Xenopus tropicalis: one gene and its partners. The protein of the gene in region 5 interacts with the protein of the main gene of each other region in a biochemical or structural test. Links are inferred from orthologs where the notes say so. Each region holds a gene or a part of one and is shown on either strand. Other genes may lie near its edges. The genes, in order: net1, cript, frmpd4, gda and dlg3.

Region 1 (4,049 bases), on a different chromosome or scaffold from region 5:
TCCCAAAACGGTAGCCAGATTATTATCTTGAAGCCCCAGGCATTGCAGTAATTGCCTTGTATTGTATGTTCTAAATGGGGATTCTCAGTTAACAATAGGAAGTGATAGAAGACAACTCCTTTGTTTTGTATCTCAGCTACTTGCAGCAATAGTACATAGAATGCTTACTGTTCACAAAACTCACCAATAGTAAGTACACAGAATCACCAAGGCTCTATAAGTAACTAAGTACTATTACTAAGTACTATTAGTAATGTATTTTTATATTTAACTCCCACTACAGTGCTGCAAAAATGGTTTAACAGTAAAAGACATCTAATGTAGGTTACTTACCCAATTAATGAGAATGGGACCAATCTGACCAACTGTCCCATCTGCCTTTGTTGCTTCCCCAAGTTTAGCAAGCAATTCTGAAAAATAGAAGACAGATTTTAAATTAAATTAGGCTTTGGTCACCTATATAACTTATGTCACTTTAAAATTACAAAATTCTCCATATTTAAAGGGGGTTAGGTTAATAAAGAGATTTAAATACAAAACAGAACACACATAGCTGTAGAACCAGCTTAGGTTAGTATAAGTCAGAGCTCAGACATGTGGGGGGTACAAGATTCATACATTTAAGATCTGTGTATAGGCTGCCTTAATTTTCCTTTTTTACGGTGCCTTACGGTGCTAACTTACCTTCATGAAGAGGAATGTAGGAATCTAAATCTCCAAATATCTGTGTTAGTTCTTCCTCAGACATAATAGAAAGCTTTAGCATCGGGTCATGATAGGCCTTCCTTGCCAACTTTAGATCATCAATAAGGTCTTGCTCTCCCTTGGTCATTTCAAATATTGCCTGATAGGAAAACATTCAGGTTACAAATCTACAGGACAAAGGAGCACCACTTAAATGCAGCATATGTGGGATGGGATTTTCTCTGTATATCTGAAAGAACCTCATAAAAGGTTGATTTAAACACAGGACTGTTTGGCCCTAGCATGTGGAAATGGGCTGCTAGTTTAGTTAAGGAGGTTGAAGTAGCCACAAAAAATGCCTTGTCCTAAGAAACAGCTACTACTGTGAAGGTTTGAAAAGATTTGTTTATGTTCTAACCATTTGAAAAGAAGGAGCTTGTATTTTAGCTGTAGTTTACCCTTTAATATCCATGTTGAAAAACTTTATTGCTGTTCAAAGGTTGTACTGCTATGATTGCTCTTGGTCAGTTCAAAGGTTTAACAGCCTGGAGTAAGACCCTGCATGTTCAGGATAACCAATAACAGAGCTTAACTAGCCAAAAATACTGAACAAAAACACAAGAGCAAGTAAATGGCAAGCTGTAAAAAATCTGTCCTGTGGGCCTCATTCTAGCATATCATGTATATATTTTGCAGTTACTTTTAATTTTTACAGTGACTTTCAGGACACAGCAGGAAGCAATTGCTTTAGGCCTGCAGAATCATACTTCTCCCTCTTGGAGAGCGCATTCCCTTCATAAAATCATTTATTACTTTATCCAACAATCTTAAGTATTTTAATCTGATTTCTCACATATGGCCTGACAACTGATGATGAGCTACAACCACCAGCATTCTCACTTTTAAGGCTGCAGGAAGTTGTAGAAAAGCAGCTGATGGGTATATACACACTAATAACAGTGTTCCCTACATTGCAAAAAGCTAGGATGTTTAAAGCCTCAGCCTATTTGACTAATCCCACATATTTAAGCAATCCTAACAATTTAGGTTCAATGTAATCATAAGGTATTGCACCGATTAACCAATAATAAAGGTAAGATGTCTCCAACAAAGGAAGGGATAACAATGTAACCGCAAATTACATTGATAACAGCATGCAAAAAATATCCTTAATTGTTTAACTTGCCTCTTGCCGTTTTATTTCTTTGGTGCTCAGAGATTCCTTCATATTAATATCTAGCATTTCAGACCACAAAACACTGTTCCTTCTTTTGGGTGGGGTAGGTGCAGCCACCTTGCTACAAGCTTTCTGTGTACCGCCTGGAGACTTGTTTTCGGCTCGCATTGTAAATGACTGGCAAGAAAAAACATGTTTGAAGCTGTTCAGTGCTTGAATTCTCTTGAAACCCACTGGTCAGGTTTAAACAAGTAAAGTCAACATTTTAGTAGAAGGGGTATTTCTCATAAACACTTATATGCAACACAAAATCAGTTAAGGAAACAAAAAAACCCAGAAACCTCAGTGATCAAATCTAAGCAGGCCAGAGCTTAGATTAACTGTAGCACGAACACTGCTTATAAAGATTACAGAAAGTGTACACAGTGCATTCAATAAACAACCTATACTCAGGTCAGTTTCCTCAGGAGTCAATTCAACTGCATGTATAAATGTAATAGGGACCTTACAGTTTAAAGGAATACGGTCATTAAAAAACATGTTTTTTCCCTAAAACATATCAGTTAATAGTGCTGCTCTAGCAGAATCCTACATGGAAAATGCAAACAGATTTTTTTTTTTTATATTAAATTCTAAAATTCCACATAGGGCTAGCCATGTTCTTTCAGGGTGCCACAGTTATGAGATTTTGTACTCTGATAAACTTCAGTCACACTTTACTGCTGTGCTGCAAGTTAGAGTATTATCACCCCACCCCTTCTACCCCCCCCCCCCCCCCCAAACAGCAGCCAATCAGCAGAACAATGGGAAGGTAGCAAGATAGTAGCTACCTGACACATGTAAAGTGGTAGATGTCAGAATAGCACTCAATAGTAAAAAAAATTTCCAAGTTCAGCTTGGGACTCCAGTTACATGGGAGTAGGAGAAACAATAGGTTATCTGAAAGCAGTTTTAATGTGTAACACTGGCTCCTTCTGAAAGCTCAGACTCAGGCACAATGCACTGAGATGGCTGCCTACACACCAGTATTACAACTAAAAAAATACATTAGTTGGTTCACGAATAAAACAGTGTAGTTTAGAAACAAAAAGTAAATCATAAAAATCATGAGAGAATCAGTTTAAGCTCATTTGTTGGTCTGAAATAAAGAATAATACTACAAACTGGCAGTACCTGGATGGTTTGGCCAAAACGTCTGACTGCGCCATTTCTTACAGGAGAGATTAGATTTGCCAATGATGTGACTCGCGATAGAGGCCGAACTCTCTTAGTGCTTGGCTCCTACAAAACAGACATATCTCAACATTAGGCGCAATATTCTGTGGGAGAAAGAACAGCAATTATGAAATGCTAACTAGAACACAACAAAATTAAAGAAGTGTATGAATCATCCACCTTTGTTATGTTGGCTGTATATTGTTAGATAAAATAATTCATGTTATAGTACACAGTAAAAATGTAGGGCCCACATTGAGCAAAAGAAACTGTAGCGCCTAATAAACAAAGATAAAAAGCTTATTTTAAAATCTTAAGATATGATTTACATAATGGTAAAATATACTCAGGAGAAGACAGTATAACAGGTCAAACTCTTATAGGGATAACAAAAAGACTGAAAAGAATCAACTTTCACCTGCCCAAACGGCTCCCAACACCCTCAGCAGCTGAAGGATACCAGGAGTTGTTTTACATGACAACATAAGGAGAAACAAAACGACTGAATTATCCTAGTACATCTTCAGGATCACAACTTGCCTAGCAATACACAGCAGGTCTGCCTATACACAAGGTCAGTATGCGTAATTAATAACAGTAACTGTTGAGGCAGAGTTGAACTCCCAACACAAAAAGCAACTCCTTCCGAGCAAAATGGTATGAAATGCAAACTGGCAAGGGAATGCTAATTTCCTGGCATAACAATGAAGTATAGAGATTAACCTAAACAAGTGTGATCTGTGTACTTTAGAATATTTTCACAACAACAAGAACCCAAGGTGAAACATGAGCTTAGAGAAAATCCCTCCAGTCTGCGCAAACAGAGGAGCAGCTCACTTTAGTTATGTTTGCACTAAAACATAACCCTCTCCCTCTCAGACTGATTTAGAATAAATCCTATAAACGGATCCCTTGGCACAAATATAGTTTGTTAGAATTCCTTATCTCTACATCAGAGATGATAAAATAATGA
Region 2 (4,741 bases), on a different chromosome or scaffold from region 5:
CAGTAATAAGAGATATTCACAGCCGCTCCCCATCATTCTGATCTTGTTGGGCCATTTCTATGGTGTCAGTGACACCGCACATGCTCAATCTACTTTGAGCTGCAGTAAAGCAGTTAAGCCTAGTGATTGTCACAAATCCTCAAAATATTTGAGGATATTTGAAAGTGAGTTACAATAGGCAAAAAGTATGTTCACAGCAAACCCTATACACTGAACTCAAGTTGAAAAGGAGACACTGTGTGATTAGTACTCACCTTGCAGTCTTTGATGTCAGTGCCTTGTTCTCATTTAGTTTTCTGCCTCCACTTTCTGTGTAAAGAGAGAGAAAAATCAATAACCAGAAGAATACTGTAATAATCCTTTCCCACAGAAGCCAAATGTGTTTGTTTAATTAAATAAATTAGAAATATAAGCCTCCCATCAAGTCCCCCATTTGAAACATTGTACATAATACTATAGAGAGGTTACCAGCTCCAGGACTTAGGGGCCATAGGCAAACAAATGAAATATTTTGGATTTTTTCTTTTACTTGAGCAAACATTAATTCTGACAGGGACTGTTGTGCCAAAACAAGACAAAAAAATACTGCCTATTAAAATAAACAAACAGTGGCATATTCACTAAAGAAGGCTTACGTGTGAATGGAACAATTCATCAAAAAATGAAAGTCCGCCACCCCAGTTGAAAATAAGCCTTAACCAGGTAGACCAAACAGAGCAGTTTTAGGGGTCCCTGGTGGTGCAGTTCTGGAGGAGGGAGGGAAGACTCTGGAAGTGGCCATGGCTTCAAACAGCCTCCTTTGGGTAAGCCAGTCACTGAATAAACTAAACCGACTGTTTTTCAAGCAAAAAAGTGTATTTTATACCATATTTATTTAGAAAAAAATAGCTTATCATCAATTTACAATAGGCAATAAAAATATCAGTTAATGCTTTTAATTGCATTACTCTGCTAATATTAGCTAGATACATGCAGCGATAACATTTCAGGTAAAGAGATTGTTAAAAAATGGCTAAAGATAATAACTGGTGGCACTTCATGGAGGCATTAAAGGAGAAGAAGTCATTTTGGCATTTAACTGCCAATAGGTTTGCCACATTAGTGCCACCTAGAACACTATATTTATTCTGCAGAAAGCATTGCCATACTTGAGTAAAGAGCCCTAGAAGCTTTCTCTTTTTAAGATTGCAGCTGCCATTTTAGCTTGGTCTCCATAGCTTCCTGTTTGCAGTCTAGCGTTATAGCTCAGATTACACATTCCTAAGGGAGGGGGGAGTGAGTCTTATGAATTCTTATGGGAGGGGGGAGCAGGAGAGAGGAGAGAGCTGCACTGACTCTGGTCACAGGAATGAAGGATTTTTCTGAGAGAGAAAGTCAGATACCCTAAGAACATGTTTACAAAAAAGTAGACAAGAAATCCTGTGTTTCTTTTGACAGAGGACTCAGTGCAGCGTTTCTGTGAGTGCTTATGACTGTATTTACATAGACCTTTCTGATAAAGTTTACTTAGTTTTTACCTTTCCTTCTCCTTTAACCAATGAGTTTATTCATATAAGCCTTTAGTGTACAAATGTTTTGCTTGTGTACTTATTAAGGGAAGCTGCATAGGTGGCAGAGGCACACTTTGAAGCCTTTAATAACACAGCACAACAGGTTCAGCCCTTAAATGTCACCATATATTTTACAAAAAAAATAAATATTAAAGTCTGCCTTTATATAAACAATATCTGGCCTTTATAATAGGATCAAAGTTCTGCCTCTGAAAGACTGGGAAGAGCAAGAAGTGCTAGTGGATTGATACACAATAATGCAAATCCGATTAAATGGCACCACAACTTACCAGTGGTATTCCTGGCACCGGATTTCCATGTGTCTGGAGTGATAACTGTGCCCAGTTTCTTCTCACCTGTCATTAAATACACGTCATTAGTTAATGCTGCTCCTGCACACACATATCCCTATCTACGTCCTTAAAGGAATACTGTCATGGGAAAACACGTTTTTTTCAAAACCCATCAGTTAATAGAGCTTCTGCAGCAGAATCCTGCATTGTAATCTGTTTTTCAAATATACAAACAGATTTTTTTTATATTTAATTTTGAAATTTCACATGGGGCTAGCCATATTCTTCATTTCCCAGGGTGCCACAGCCATGTAACCTGTGCTCTGATAAACTTCAATCACAATTTACTGCTGCGCTGCAAGTTGGAGTGATATCCCCCGCCCCCTCCCAGCAGCCGATCAGCAGAACAATGGGAAGGGAGCAAGATAGCAGCTCCCAGTAGGTATCAGAATAGCACTCAATAGTAAGAAATCCAAGTCCGGCTTGGGACTCCTCCAGTTACATGGGAGTAGGAGAAACAATAGGTTAGCTGAAAGCAGTTCTAATGTGTAGCGCTGGCTGAAAGCTCAGACTCAGGCACAAGGCACTGAGATGGCGCCTACACACCAATATTACAGCTACAAATACATTTGTTGGTTCAAGAATAACATTTTAAATGGCAGAGTGAATTATTTGCTATGTAAACAGTGTAATTTAGAAATAAAAAGTATACCACATAAGTCATGACATTATCCCTTTAAAAACAACAGTAATTACATTCTCCCATACAGGTATCCAAAAACGTCAATGAGATAATCAGAATATATAGTGACAATGAGCAATACAGTCAGGGAGAATAGTAATAGCCGGCAGCACAGTAAGTATATTACTACGTATTGCGAACAGCGGATAAACCAGAGCTACAGCTATGTCTGCTTTATTTATTACTAACAGTAGGCACCCCTAGCAACCAACCAGCCATTGGCTTTGCTCAGCCAGTTGCGCAGACGAATGTGAAGGATAATATAAACAGGACGCCATGGTTTACAGCTGCTCGGCAAATGTATCCAATGGCAGGTGTAAGCGTTACCCACATAACACGGCTCTATGGGAGCTGCCCGGTACCAGGAAATACACCCAGCGAGATTAAACCCGGTTTGTTACTTACACTTATCGCACACCATGTCCCACTCCGGTCACACCAACAATCACACGGCTCTTGTCAACAAAGTTCCTTAGGAACGTCACTTCCGGATCTCGTCACCACCAATGGAAACCGCTCCGGAACGTCAACGTCAGTTGGCGGAAGCCGCCGCCTGATTGGCTTATGTGACTGTCTATCAAACACAGCTTCTGCTCCTTTTCAGGTGAGGGAGGAGGAACCAGAACCAGAAGTGGTGCAGGGTCAATGAGCGCACAGGTGAGTATTGGGAGACACAGCGGGACTTCCCTTCTACCCTTATATATATATATATATATATATATAGCTCAGTCTGTGGGAGTTTTGGTGCTGTTGAGCTACAGCTGCTTCCTTCCATTGGTGTGTTTGCATAAGCTCCTAGGGGGAGTGATGGGAGTTGTAGTAAAGACAATTAGCAACATGGGGTGTTCAGCCTGAAGGCCAGTTAGGGGAGATTGCCCATTACATACACAGCCCAGCCTGAAGGGCCAGTTAGGGGAGATTGCCCATTCTGTGGCTACATACACAGCCCAGCCTGAAGGCCAGTTAGGGGAGATTGCCCATTCTGTGGCTACATACACAGGGCAGCCTGAAGGCCAGTTAGGGGAGATTGCCCATTCTGTGGCTACATACACAGGGCAGCCTGAAGGCCAGTTAGGGGAGATTGCCCATTCTGTGGCTACATACACAGGCCAGCCTGAAGGCCAGTTAGGGGAGATTGCCCATTCTGTGGCTACATACACAGCCCAGCCTGAAGGCCAGTTAGGGGAGATTGCCCATTCTGTGGCTACATACACAGGGCAGCCCAGCCTGAAGGCCAGTTAGGGGAGATTGCCCATTCTGTGGCTACATACACAGCCCAGCCTGAAGGCCAGTTAGGGGAGATTGCCCATTCTGTGGCTACATACACAGCCCAGCCTGAAGGCCAGTTAGGGGAGATTGCCCATTCTGTGGCTACATACACAGCCCAGCCTGAAGGCCAGTTAGGGGAGATTGCCCATTCTGTGGCTACATACACAGGGCAGCCCAGCCTGAAGGCCAGTCAGGGGAGATTGCCCATTCTGTGGCTACATACACAGCCCAGCCTGAAGGCCAGTTAGGGGAGATTGCCCATTCTGTGGCTACATACACAGCCCAGCCTGAAGGCCAGTTAGGGGAGATTGCCCATTCTGTGGCTACATACACAGCCCAGCCTGAAGGCCAGTTAGGGGAGATTGCCCATTCTGTGGCTACATACACAGGGCAGCCCAGCCTGCAGGCCAGTTAGGGGAGATTGCCCATTCTGTGGCTACATACACAGCCCAGCCTGAAGGCCAGTTAGGGGAGATTGCCCATTCTGTGGCTACATACACAGGGCAGCCCAGCCTGAAGGCCAGTTAGGGGAGATTGCCCATTCTGTGGCTACATACACAGGGCAGCCTGAAGGCCAGTTAGGGGAGATTGCATAGGCGGAGGGTGACTTTTTTGTTTGGGGAGGCTAAATATGGGCCATACATAGACTGACATAAAGCTAATGTGAGACTTAGTGGATTCGCTGCTGGTGTAAATAATGAACCTCCCAACTACCTCTTGTGGTTCCCACTGACTCCCAGGGATACTGCGCAAAAGTGCGGGTGGAGTGCGAGTGTTTTTTTAACCCTAAAATGCTTAGGATGTAAAAGTATTCATACAGGCACTTCTGTGAGGGGTTCACCATCCATTTGTGTTTGGGATCAGTTAGCTTAAAGGGGTAGTTCACC
Region 3 (4,049 bases), on a different chromosome or scaffold from region 5:
CAATACTCAATAAAAAAGTCCACAACATGATGTAGGGGCATGACAGGTGTTAAATAGTATCCTATCACAGGATACAGCCGAGAATTTGTCGGAAACACTATTCCCTCATAAGCAGGGGGCAGTAGCAGGGACAGCTATATGCTTCCTCTTTCCCTTATGAATACAGCGCTAGCAAATGCAGGCACTATAGTATTCATGTGAGTAACCACAGGTCACTGTGCTCCATTTTGGCAATTGTGTATCACAGGAAATAAATACCAGACAGTGAGGCAGTGTGCACTGCACTCATTATTGTGCTTTGTACCTTGCCTTGACACTATATTAGGATATTTACATACATTATTGTATTCTAAGGAGGCTTAGTACTGGTGTATATCGGCAAAAGACGGGAAAGATCACTTATAGAATATAGCTGTATCTTTGAAAATTATCTTAACATTATTTTATATTTTGTATTGTATTATTTACACATGGTTACAATTGTGCTGGCCATCCATTTGATCAACAAGGTGACCAAAAGCATGTTTATCCTATCCTATCATTTGTATCCCTGCCAGTGATCAATTGGCGAATACATCATTCTGGTCTGGTACACAGGTCAATAAGCTGCCAACCAATCACCAGCCAAAATGGCTAATAGCAATGTATCCATAATCAGCCCACAGCCTTTCCAGACTCCACTGTATTCCACATATAGAAGCTTCCAAATGCAAACAGTAACTTGCAACACATCTTGATTAAAGTGTTGTACACAACATGTTTCAGGCCCCTCTAGTGCCCTTTATTAAGTGACTTGGGTTGCAAGTTACTTGCTGTGTCAGCGCTCCCCCTGTCTGCATTTAGAAGCAGCCAAATATGGGGCCATGCATGGAAAGCTTTAGTTTGCAAAGTGTATCTTGTGTGGAGTCTATCCTGACTGACTTAAATTAGTGTAAATTTTAACATTATAAGACATATTTAAAGAATAAATGTTCCAATTTAATGTTAAAAATTTAATTTTAAAATTGTATTATTACAGTAAGCAAGCAACTCATGTAAACTTCACTTTTATCAGCCTCAGATTTACTATTAGCACTTACCGAAACCTGGCCATTGATTATCACTTCTTCTGAGAATCGCACTTTAACTGGGTTGGACTTCAGTCTGGCTTTTTTTGCAGCACTAATAAATGCGGATTTGGGAGACTTCAGGGGGAAAAAACATGATAAAGCATGTGAAAAATAACATTTACGCAAATGTACTTAGACAACGACACCTAATCTTACGTTATGCCTATATTATCATGGAAAGGTCGGGACCGTGGAACTTCTGTCACGCCTGACCAGGTGGTAGCTCCAGGGTTCCCTCAGTGCCCTGCCTCAATAGACACAGTGCACTTACACCTAAAGAATCCAGCACAGACATCATTCACATGCCAAACACGGGAACTGACACAAGGCAGACTGAAAAAATATTTGGCACAATTGCGTCCGATTTCCAGCCAAGTGTATGCTCGTGCTCATTTTGCTCATTTTGATGACGCAAGCGTGATATGCATCTAATTCAACATCTGCTTGTGTGTGCAATGACACATTAATTGTGGGGGGAAACAATGTATTGTGGAAAAAATTCATGATGATTGAAAGTGCCCTTATGTGGGCCTGAATTCTAGCCCTTATACTTTCTTAGCCAACACATCCATGGCTTTTTTGTTACCTTGAAATGGCTTCAAAGATTCCAATTATGGTACAATTTATTTGCACACTGCTGGCTACATAGAAATATGTGGTTGCAATGTATAGAGGAGGGTGTTAAGGGCAAGTTACTCCAGAGCTAATAACCTATAGTGGCCAGTCAAATGTTTTCTTTGGAAGCGAAGACTTGTAAATGCTACCTGCTGTACTGTCATTAGATCAGATAAACTATTTTATAGGCAAAGTCCCAGTGCAGGGAATATATATACCAAATGCCTAATAGACAAATGATGATGTGATCATGTGTTACTTGAACAGTTCATAACATCTTGTTTTTCCATTTTCCATTTTGTCTTTCTTCCAAGAGTAAAGTATTTTGCTTCTAAAGATAACTTGGCACACTAGCTAGGGGCTCAGCAATTTCATAAAATAATAATGTTTCCACCAAAAAATGAATTTGAGGCAACAGAAAAAAACACTAAGGGGCAGATTTCTAGTCATTCTTATAAGATTTTTTGAAGCAGATTTATTAAATGGGGAGTTCTAACTTTCATCTCTAAATCCCATAGGAATGAATGGAAAATGGTGAGTTTTTTATGTATTAAGCTTTAAACTCACATTTAGATAAATCTGCCCCTTAGTGTGTTTTCTGTTGCCTCAAATTCATTTTTTGGTGGAAACATTATTATTTTGTGAAATTGCTGAGCCCCTAGCTAATGTGCAAGTTATCTTTAGAAGCAAAATACTTCAGTCTTGGAAGAGAGACAAAATGGTTAGATTTTCAGTATTATCAGTATTGATAATAAGCATATTGATAATAAAAATAGCTTCAATTAAAGCATGTGCAGGGGGCTAACAAAAATGTAGAGTGGGGGTTTTAGCTCCATTTTAAATTGTTCACAATAAATATTACTTCATTATGGTAAATACTATAAATCTACTTTATTTATTAAAATAGAATTATGGAATATAATATCACTTTCAATAAAGACACCATTTTCCATGCTGTTCCCATTGTACTTACTGGGTACGGTTGCACGACTGTAAGTAGGATTGATTCTTTGCAGCTTCTGTAAGAAAGAACAAAAAAGAGTATAAGTCACTTTAAGGAAATATGTCTTTCATTTGCAATGTATAGATTTACAGTAACCCATGATTTTGCCTCATCCATTGATAAAATAAATAAACTAAAGTGATTTACTGACACAGCACCACCCCCAAGAATGCAAGCAAGTCATGCTGCCTGCTCTTTAGCAAGTAACATGGGCAAATCTCCAGAACAAATCTGTTGATCTATGATCTATTTGAATCATCTGATAAATATATTTGAATTCATCTGTGAAAACCCTTGATTCTGCCTGTATGCAGAGAGTTGCATATAGAAAATGGTTAGGATTCACCAGAGATTTGCTTTAATGGGACTTATAAGGGGCCATTTACTGAGACCCCGGATGCAGGTGCTAGAGAAGTAAAGGGGCACAAAAGCTAGCATAGTGAGCAAGGTAACATTGTCCTTACTACCAGGCCTGGCTGGACAGCACTGTATTCATGTGCAAATACAGATCTCAGCACCTTGTTTTTAACCTATGTGCAGGGCAGGGTGCAAAGTGAAAAGAGCATGGTGAATTGCAGCCATGTTTTGCACCGTACAACTTGCCATTTTTGTACTAAATAATCTACAAAACACTAATTCAAATATTAATTTGATATTCATTGATGTTAATTGGAATATTGTCTAGTTCAGACAGCAAAAGGACGTGTACTTATATTCATAATAAATTTTATTATTTGTTATTTTCAAAATGTGATCTACTTTTTTGGGGGGATAATTGTCACATGTACTAATAAATACAAGATAGAGAGGAACTGTTTTTATTTATGGTACATCCCTGTGCCTTAAGGTTACTTAAACACCTATAATATTAACAAAATAAATGTAAAATTGTTTTGTCATCACCAAGTATTTTTTTTGTAACTTAAATTTTATTTGGTTTTAACAGCATTATTTGACATACAGTGTTTGTTACTTCAAGATGCAGTACTGTGTATATTATAATCAGTGACAAAGATCATGTGGCATAAAGTCGAATCAGATTTTATACATGTAAATAAAGTGAAAGAGGAGAAGAGAGTCAAAGGGGTTGACAGGCAAAACAGAGTCAAAACAATATGTTCCAATATGTTTCCCAGGAGAGTGAGTCAAATTATATCTGTTGCCTCTATGCTCGCTCTTAAGTTAGTACGGATGGGGTGATATCCCTTATTGCATAAGTCTGTTCCTATGAGGGTGTATAATTTTGGGAGATGAAATAGTCCCATTTTGACCATATTTTATCGTGTTGTTGGGTTGTTCCCCTGAGTCTAGCTGCCATTTCT
Region 4 (4,049 bases), on a different chromosome or scaffold from region 5:
TGCACTTCCGCGTTCCCCGGTCATCGGTCAGACAAACTCTTAAAGGTTGTCTAAAAACTATGCTTGTCAGTTGCTGGTTCCCTAATTTTTTAAACGTTTTCAGATGGGATCCAAAACCAGGCTTTGTGTGGTTAAGAATAAAAAATGTACAGGATCTGGACAATTTATGAAACTTCCTAACTAAACAGTAATGGTGGCTACTGCTAAGTATCATGATAACTGAAAACAAAAGTTTCATATAATAAAATGTATTTTTATGCTAGAGCAAACTTCTTCAGCATGAAAGAAATGTCCTAATTTTTAATTCCTGCTTGGAATTTGCAGTGGGGATTAATTATTCAGATGGACTTGCTGCTGATCTGTAACACCCCACAGAGCAGAATGGTGCTAGACTTCTTGAAGCAATTTAACACATTCTTATGCATTTCACTAAAATATTTTCCTGATTGGATCCTACTAGAAAATGTTTAATAAATGGGGATTCCATTCCACACCTATTTCCTTTAACACTGTCTGCTATTTTTTGGCCCCAGTTCACAGGTAAGAAACCCTTGTTTTAAAAGCGCATTTTAATTCTTTCTAGTTTCTAATACCTACTGAAAACTGAATATGGTGCATTTAAACAGCAGAATACTATAGCTAGGGTTTTTTTCCAGACCCATCCTTGCCTATAGCCACCCCAAGCCTACCCACCCTCCGTCTTTAAAAGGAACTATTACTTAGACCAGTGCTGTCCAATTTCTGTGGTACGGAGGGCCGTAATTTTTCCGGCCTACATGATGGAGGGCTGATAATGGAAGCCAGTTTTGACCACTCCCCTTTTTTAAACCACACCTACTTGAAACCACACTTGTTATCACATGTCCATACTCATATTAATGGTGGTAGTACAGCAAAAACCTGCCACACTCTGCCTTCCCTACCCTGCCTGTGTGTGCCATACTCTACCTGCCCTATGTTGCCTGTGTGCCATACTCTGCCTGTCCTATGCTGCCTGTGGGTGCAATACTCTGCCTTCCCTACCCTGCCTGTGTGTGCCATACTCTACCTGCCCTATGTTGCCTGTGTGCCATACTCTGCCTGTCCTATGCTGCCTGTGGCTGCAATACTCTGCCTTCCCTACCCTGCCTGTGTGCCATACTCTACCTGCCCTATGTTGCCTGTGTGCCATACTCTGCCTGTCCTATGCTGCCTGTGGGTGCAATACTCTGCCTTCCCTACCCTGCCTGTGTGTGCCATACTCTACCTGCCCTATGTTGCCTGTGTGCCATACTCTGCCTGTCCTATGCTGCCTGTGGCTGCAATACTCTGCCTTCCCTACCCTGCCTGTGTGTGCCATACTCTACCTGCCCTATGTTGCCTGTGTGCCATACTCTGCCTGTCCTATGCTTCCTGTGGGTGCAATACTCTGCCTTCCCTACCCTGCCTGTGTGTGCCATACTCTACCTGCCCTATGTTGCCTGTGTGCCATACTCTGCCTGTCCTATGCTGCCTTTGGGTGCAATACTCTGCCTTCCCTACCCTGCCTGTGTGTGCCATACTTTGCCCGCCCTATGCTGCATGTGTGTGCCATACTCTGCCTGCCCTACCATGCCTTTGTATGCCATACTCTGCCTGCCATATGCTGCCTAGGGCAGGCAGAGTATGGCACACACAGAAAGCATACAGTGACACACTGCTGGCACTGCTCCTACGGTCTGCACAATAACTGTATATTAAAAAAACTTTTTAATTGCAGTACCACCTCAGTTTATTTTCTTTTTGTAGTGTAAATGGTTTATTTGTGGGTTTCTACAGCTCCTACAGCCTGTCTGAGGTGTGAACAGGTGAACAATGTGGGTGCTTATAGTCTGAGCCTGAGGTGTGAACAATGCAGTGGATGAACAATGCAGGGATTAAAAGGTGTGAACAACACAGAGGATTACATTTTTAAACAATACAGGGGAATTACATCTTGAATCTGAGGTGTGAGCAATGCAGGGGGCCAGTTAATCACAGTACTGATACCATTTAAAGCTTAAAGGACAAGGAAAGGCTAAGTCACTTGGGGGTGCCTAACATTTTGGCACCCCCAAGTGACTTTGCCTTTCCTTCTCCTTTAAACAAAGGTAAGTCATCAAACAGCCAGACAAGTGCAGGGGCCACAGAGAGGGGGGTAACGGGCCGCCAGTTGGACAGCACTCACTTACCACAACTGTTTCATAAATGTTGCTAGCAAGATCTAGATCAGAGAACTTTTCTTCTGTTGGGAACGTAATGTGTTCTAACCACTGCAGAAGTGGTCGGTCCATTCCTGATCCTATGAATGAGTACTGAGGGGCATGAATGTGAGTGTCTATCATTCCAGGCATGAAGAACTCACTAAAAGTAAAAAAATATGCAGGTAAATTAGTTTGATGGATAGATAGAAGATCAGTTTTTTTTTTTTTATCTAGCAGCCTCTTTATAAGTAAAAATTATGTATTCTGTTCTAATTTTTGTTTTACGTACTTATGTTATTACTTTCTTATGAACCTCATTTGACTCCAAAGCCAGGCCAAGTAGTACTGGCGCCTATAAACTGTCTGCCCTTTCCCCAGAAGCAAAAATATATTCTGAACAATTTGAACAAGACTTTCCTAGAGATGGTAGCTTTTTAATGCAATCATTTTTGCTGGAAGGCTTCTTCTACTGTTGCCATCTTACATGGCATAAACCATAATAAAGTGTTAAAACTGATAAGTGCTTCAGTAAATTGCAGAAAAATTCAGAACTACATTTTATAAAATTGAACACAAGGAGAATATTCCATGGGCTACAGCTCTTTCTACTGCTCCTTCTGTTATGTCTTGGAGAAGCAGGGAAGACATGGCAGACTGTGTGTCAGTGTAATATTAAACAAAACCTGATTATTTATCATTGTAAACATTTTATCTGACGATATGCATTACATACATTACATACATACATCAAATTTGCACTTTACTAAATGTTTGAATTTGTCAAAAATACAAACTGCATCTTGGAAGTACACAATTGATTCTGTCTGACACTAAAAAGTGCATGATTATTTCTGTTTAATAAAATATATTGGTTTTTGTATAGAATGATGAAACGTTTACTTTGAATTTGTGCTGCAAAAAGATTAATGTTGATGTAAATAAGCAAACATTGATAATCCATTCACTGTAACTGGGAAAGATGTGACAAGTAATAAATGTAAATATAGAGAAATTTACTTCTTGCCAAGGTCTTCAATTTTGCTCTCATCAAATTTCCACTTCAGAGCCAATTGCGCTTCCTTTTCAGCATGTTCTATAAATAAAATCTAAAATTAAAAAAAGAATCATGAATATACTGCCATATATCACAGCATAGTGAAAATTAATAGGGAATAACCTACCCCTATTGTACAACATAAGGAAATGAAACAAGTGCTTTTATAAAAGTTCTCAGGAGCCTTAAAAACCTTATAGGTAAATAGATGTAAATATTGCACTTATTGACACCATTCAATATAGGAACTTGGCATCCAATCACACTTCTTGCACTTTTCTCCATCCCGAACAAATGTGCAAACATGCGCATGCACAGTTGTGTTAGTTTTGACACATCAGCTGCAGTTGCAGCAGAAACAACTATCCCTGATAAAAAAAACAGCATTTTGGCCATTTCCCTGTATATGTAAATGAAATGAAAAAAGAGGGAAAGTAACAAAGGTGAAGGTGAAATGGGAGTGGAGCAAAATGGAAACAGGAATGAAGCAAAGAAGAGATGAGGAGGGGGCACAGAGGAGGGAAACATACCCTGAATGAGAGAGGAAGGGAATAGAACCAGAGGCCCACACCCATAGGACCCCCGTAATGCACATTAATGGAGCCTCTGCTTCATTTCTTATTAAACCCCCTCTTTGTGAGACTCCTAGATTATAGTGAATGAGACATAAACTTGAGCACAAGAAAGCCCTGTTCTAAACATCTGCCTTGACCCAGTAAGCTCTGTCTGCTTATTGTGTGTATCAGTAAAAGTGAAATTGTAATTTAAAGATAGATATACCATTTTTCTACGTG
Region 5 (4,049 bases):
CACAGAAAAAAATAGTTTTCAACACCAGCATGTCAATTAGCTGAAACACTTTGGCTCTTGTAATAATACAGTCACAGCAACCCCTAGTAACCAATCAGCAAATAATATTGATCTGATTGGTTCCGATTATCCTGGTGCTATTTTGTTAAACAAATTATTAACTAACCCAGCACATCACTAATTGTCTTGAATAATTTCCATTTGAGTACCTCACAGTCTGTTGCTTGCTTCTCAGTTTACCTTTCCTGTCCCCATTCTGCCTTTGTCTTTGTATTACTTTGTCATTCTTTAAAAAATATAAACTTTTTGTATTAATACAATCTAATTTTTTGCAGCTTTCACAGTAGATAACCACATAAGCCATAACTCCACTCTGGGGGCATACCTGAGCAGTATGGAAAGCAAGTCACCTTATCCACCACCCCAAGTTACCCCATCCAGATTCTCCCCAGTTCCTCGACATATGCTTGGAGAAGAAGACTTTACCAGGTAACCATTGTTTATGAGTGAGAAACTGATATAGAGCAGAATAATCTGCGGAATGATCATGCAGCATGGCAATGGAAGTGCGATGTTATAAATCCTATATTAATTGTATATTATCCTATATACTATATAATAATTTGTATATTAACTTTTAGAACCCTTATGGTGATTAATGTAGTTTCAATAAAAAGTAATATACAACTGTCAAGCTGCATTAATTGTTTACCCAGCTTCAGTGATTTGTTATTTATAAGTATTTATATGAAAAATGTTTCCTGGTGGTTTTATTTAACATTAGGGATAGGAAACCATTAGTGAGCTGGTGTGTACAAATGACAACTCATTAGGTTGTAGTTTTTATCAATCACCGTAATAACAAATATGGAGTCTATCGAAAATCACCAGTCCTTGACACAATAATGAAGCCATAGATATGTGTTCAGGGATTTCTACTATAGCTACAATATAATACAAATTAGGGATCTATTACCCTAAATCCAAATATCTATAGAGTTCAGAACTACTACTGACAATTCCCCTAATATAAACAATTCCTCATTTTAGACTGATTTATTCACTAGCATAAATCTATGTTACAAGGACACTATACCCCGCTTTCCAACACTTTTCCATTTTTTTAATGGAAATATCTATGCTTTATGTCATATGAGGAAATTGTACATTGAAGGGGTTTGTTTATACAGAGGTCGTCTCAGTAGCCATTTTTAATAAATAGGTACCTGAGGGCTGGTTCCTAGGCTGGCCTCACATACCTATATAGAATTTTTTCCCTAAACATTTAAAGCCCTCAGCTTTATTAATATTTAGCATGCAGCTATATCCATTCTCTGTAGTTTTGGGCACATTGTTTCCCACAGGGATTATGATCTCTTCCTTAGGACCCATGAACTGGCAGACAAGGATTATGTAGCTGCCCCAGTACAGTATATGTGATTCTAGTTGGCCTACTCATGTGATTTCCCACTAAGCCCTGCAAGCTGTAGTTGGGTATGTTTAGTGTAGCTTTGTGAGATTGTCTAGGATTTATTATTCTCACTGTGAAGTAAACAAATAAGAGAATATCAGTAAACAGCAACAAACGTGTGACTTGATATTCTACTAAGTGCAATGTTTGCCTTTAAATTGTAAGTATAATGCCCTGTGCACAATGTGATGGAGCTGACATGTGTCAACAGGCCTTAAAGGGATCATTCACCTCCACAAAGCTCACTGTTTAAATAGCACACTGCCCTCCTTCTGAAGTTACCGAAAAGCAGCTCACTATGCCTGGTAACCCACTCGTTTTGGACAATTTAACCGTTCAACAGCAGCAGCTTCAGTACCTGAGCCAGCATTGGTTACAATTAGGTGCATTTGTTGCTGATGATGTACTGCTGCTATATGCAATATGGCAAAATGTATCCAGACACTTGGCTGCCTCACATCTTATTTCTATGTTAAGGGGTGTATTTATTAACAATGGAGACAAACATCACCAGTGATGTTTGTCTCTAATGTTAATAAATACTTCCCCAAGGGTACTAATATGGAGTTAATGTTAAAACAGCCATTGTCCTATAGGCTTCTGGGAAGGCTTTCCACTAGACATTGTGGCTATTGGCTTCCTTTCATACATAAGAGGCTGAACACTGAATTTTGGGTGTGGCTTAAATAGCCTACTACAGTAATTAGAAGCGTTGCCCACTTTTGGACCACACAGTACATATAAAATTACATACTACACCCTGTATTAAGCATTTTCTGTGGCCATACATAGGCCACCTACTTCATGCAATATTGTAATTATGGACTGCAGTGTATAATGTCCATCTATACTGAACCCTCATAAAATACATGGATAATATAACAAAACTACACTATTCAAAATCAGCCATTTAGGTGCCTGGTGGCATTTCTTTTAATATCACAGTGAAAGGGGGAACACCTAATGTGGGGCTGCAGAGAATTCTCAGTTCTTCTTTGACAATGACTTCTAATCATTGCTATTTAAAGGGAAATCACCACTGAAATAAAAATAGTTGCTAGTCTCCTTTATTATGGAGCTGTGTGAGCAGTTAATATGTGGCTGTATTTGCAGCGATATGGCATCCTTGGTACAGCTACAATTAGCATTGCAAAGTGACTCCACCATTGCTCCTTGCTGTGAAAATAGCAGGGATGAGGCTCAGTAATAGGGTACCTGTCACTCATTGTCTGCCATGAATCTGCCACCCCATTAAGTGAATAGGTGTCTGTTGGACATGCCATGCTGATGAGCACAAGAGATCCCAATTGCAGCTGTCTGCAAATACAGCCCTGTGCTAATTGATAGCTTTGCTATAGATTCTTTTCTATTAAGCAAAGTCCTGGAGCTGACCAGCTAATCTAATAGAAACAATTCACAGACTGTGAATTTATGCCTGTGTAAATATATATTAATAATTATTGCAAAAAAATAGTATTAGTAGCCAAAATATGTAAGCTCACATGCCATTTTAAGCCCCCCCACTCTCCACTCCCCACACCATTGCTTCTCCTAGGAAAAAAATGCTTCAGCCCAGGGAAAACAAAAGGTTGGAGAATAAGGATAAGGATCCTCTCCTTAATGAACTGAGGTTTAAAAGCTTCCCTGCTTGTTTCATCATATAATAATCAAGGCTATTGTGATGTTAAGGTACATATTACAAATTAAATATGTAACTATTTAAACTAGGGGTCCTGAGTCAAGAATCAGTGCAGCATGGTCACCCATTAGTCATACCTCCCAACTGTCCCGATTTTCGGGGGACAGTCCCTCTTTTGACAGCTCAACCTGCACAATCCCCGATTCTTACTGAAAAGTCCCTCATTTCCCTTTGATCTCCCCCACTGAATGCTAAAAAAGATACAAATTTAATTAAAAGTAGCTTTTGGCACAGAGCCCAGAAATCTTAACGCGCGTCACCTGCACTTAGAAACATTGTCTCTCACTTTTAATTAAATAAGTAGCTTTTGGCAGAGAGCCCAGAAAGGTAAAAATCCCCCGCTGCACTGAGATACAATTGTAACTAATAAGCTAAACAGGTCTCTTGTGGGAAATGAGACTCGCAGCTTAAAGGGCAATTTCACCTTTTTCAGCAAAACTGTAATAACACATAAAACAGGACCCCAAATCCCCCCAGAAATGTGTTCAAAGTTTAAATAACCTGCCAAATTTAGTCAAATGGGAGTGGTATTTAGGGCTTGTGGTCGCAAAAATGGACGTGGTCAAACAAATTTGTCACGAGCAGTGCGGCGTTTGTTTCTGTCCCTCTTTCCGTTTTCAAAATGTTGGGAAGTATGCATTAGTCCATATTGTTGCTGGTCATTAATGAGTATAGATTTTATACACCAATACCCAGTGCAGAACTCTTGATGTGACTTAAATCTTTACATATTTTGGCCATTATTTCGCCATATACTTATATACTGTATAATTAAACAGGCTGGAATTGTGGCCTGGTAATCATTTCCTCTCCATATACTATATACTCTTTGCAGCAGTTTGGTAATAAGACATTTGTCTTCATTAGTCTAATGACAAT

Evidence for each region.
Region 1: the proteins of dlg3 (region 5) and net1 interact in a test that uses a peptide from one of them, tested with the Homo sapiens proteins (2 studies listed by IntAct, with this or other methods). The link is inferred for Xenopus tropicalis from reciprocal best matches to the Homo sapiens genes DLG3 and NET1.
Region 2: the proteins of dlg3 (region 5) and cript form a complex in vitro, tested with the Homo sapiens proteins (2 studies listed by BioGRID and IntAct, with this or other methods). The link is inferred for Xenopus tropicalis from reciprocal best matches to the Homo sapiens genes DLG3 and CRIPT.
Region 3: the proteins of dlg3 (region 5) and frmpd4 interact in a test that uses a peptide from one of them, tested with the Homo sapiens proteins (2 studies listed by IntAct, with this or other methods). The link is inferred for Xenopus tropicalis from reciprocal best matches to the Homo sapiens genes DLG3 and FRMPD4.
Region 4: the proteins of dlg3 (region 5) and gda form a complex in vitro, tested with the Homo sapiens proteins (2 studies listed by BioGRID and IntAct, with this or other methods). The link is inferred for Xenopus tropicalis from reciprocal best matches to the Homo sapiens genes DLG3 and GDA.

What each region holds. Positions count from the first base shown.
Region 1 is NC_030679.2:84,690,568-84,694,616, forward strand, and holds part of net1 (neuroepithelial cell-transforming gene 1 protein), read right to left. Parts: intron 3,143-4,049; coding exon 3,035-3,142; intron 2,039-3,034; coding exon 1,871-2,038; intron 845-1,870; coding exon 685-844; intron 411-684; coding exon 334-410; intron 1-333. UniProt on the Homo sapiens protein: Acts as a guanine nucleotide exchange factor (GEF) for RhoA GTPase. May be involved in activation of the SAPK/JNK pathway Stimulates genotoxic stress-induced RHOB activity in breast cancer cells leading to their cell death.
Region 2 is NC_030681.2:19,971,705-19,976,445, reverse strand, and holds the start of cript (cysteine-rich PDZ-binding protein), read right to left. Parts: upstream 3,009-4,741; 5' UTR 3,007-3,008; coding exon 2,991-3,006; intron 1,907-2,990; coding exon 1,841-1,906; intron 310-1,840; coding exon 255-309; intron 1-254. UniProt on the Homo sapiens protein: As a component of the minor spliceosome, involved in the splicing of U12-type introns in pre-mRNAs. Involved in the cytoskeletal anchoring of DLG4 in excitatory synapses.
Region 3 is NC_030678.2:106,191,367-106,195,415, forward strand, and holds part of frmpd4 (FERM and PDZ domain-containing protein 4), read right to left. Parts: intron 2,744-4,049; coding exon 2,698-2,743; intron 1,185-2,697; coding exon 1,080-1,184; intron 1-1,079. UniProt on the Homo sapiens protein: Positive regulator of dendritic spine morphogenesis and density. Required for the maintenance of excitatory synaptic transmission. Binds phosphatidylinositol 4,5-bisphosphate.
Region 4 is NC_030677.2:130,496,429-130,500,477, reverse strand, and holds part of gda (guanine deaminase), read right to left. Parts: intron 3,308-4,049; coding exon 3,219-3,307; intron 2,362-3,218; coding exon 2,190-2,361; intron 1-2,189. UniProt on the Homo sapiens protein: Catalyzes the hydrolytic deamination of guanine, producing xanthine and ammonia.
Region 5 is NC_030684.2:44,856,211-44,860,259, reverse strand, and holds part of dlg3 (disks large homolog 3), read left to right. Parts: intron 1-335; coding exon 336-489; intron 490-4,049. UniProt on the Homo sapiens protein: Required for learning most likely through its role in synaptic plasticity following NMDA receptor signaling.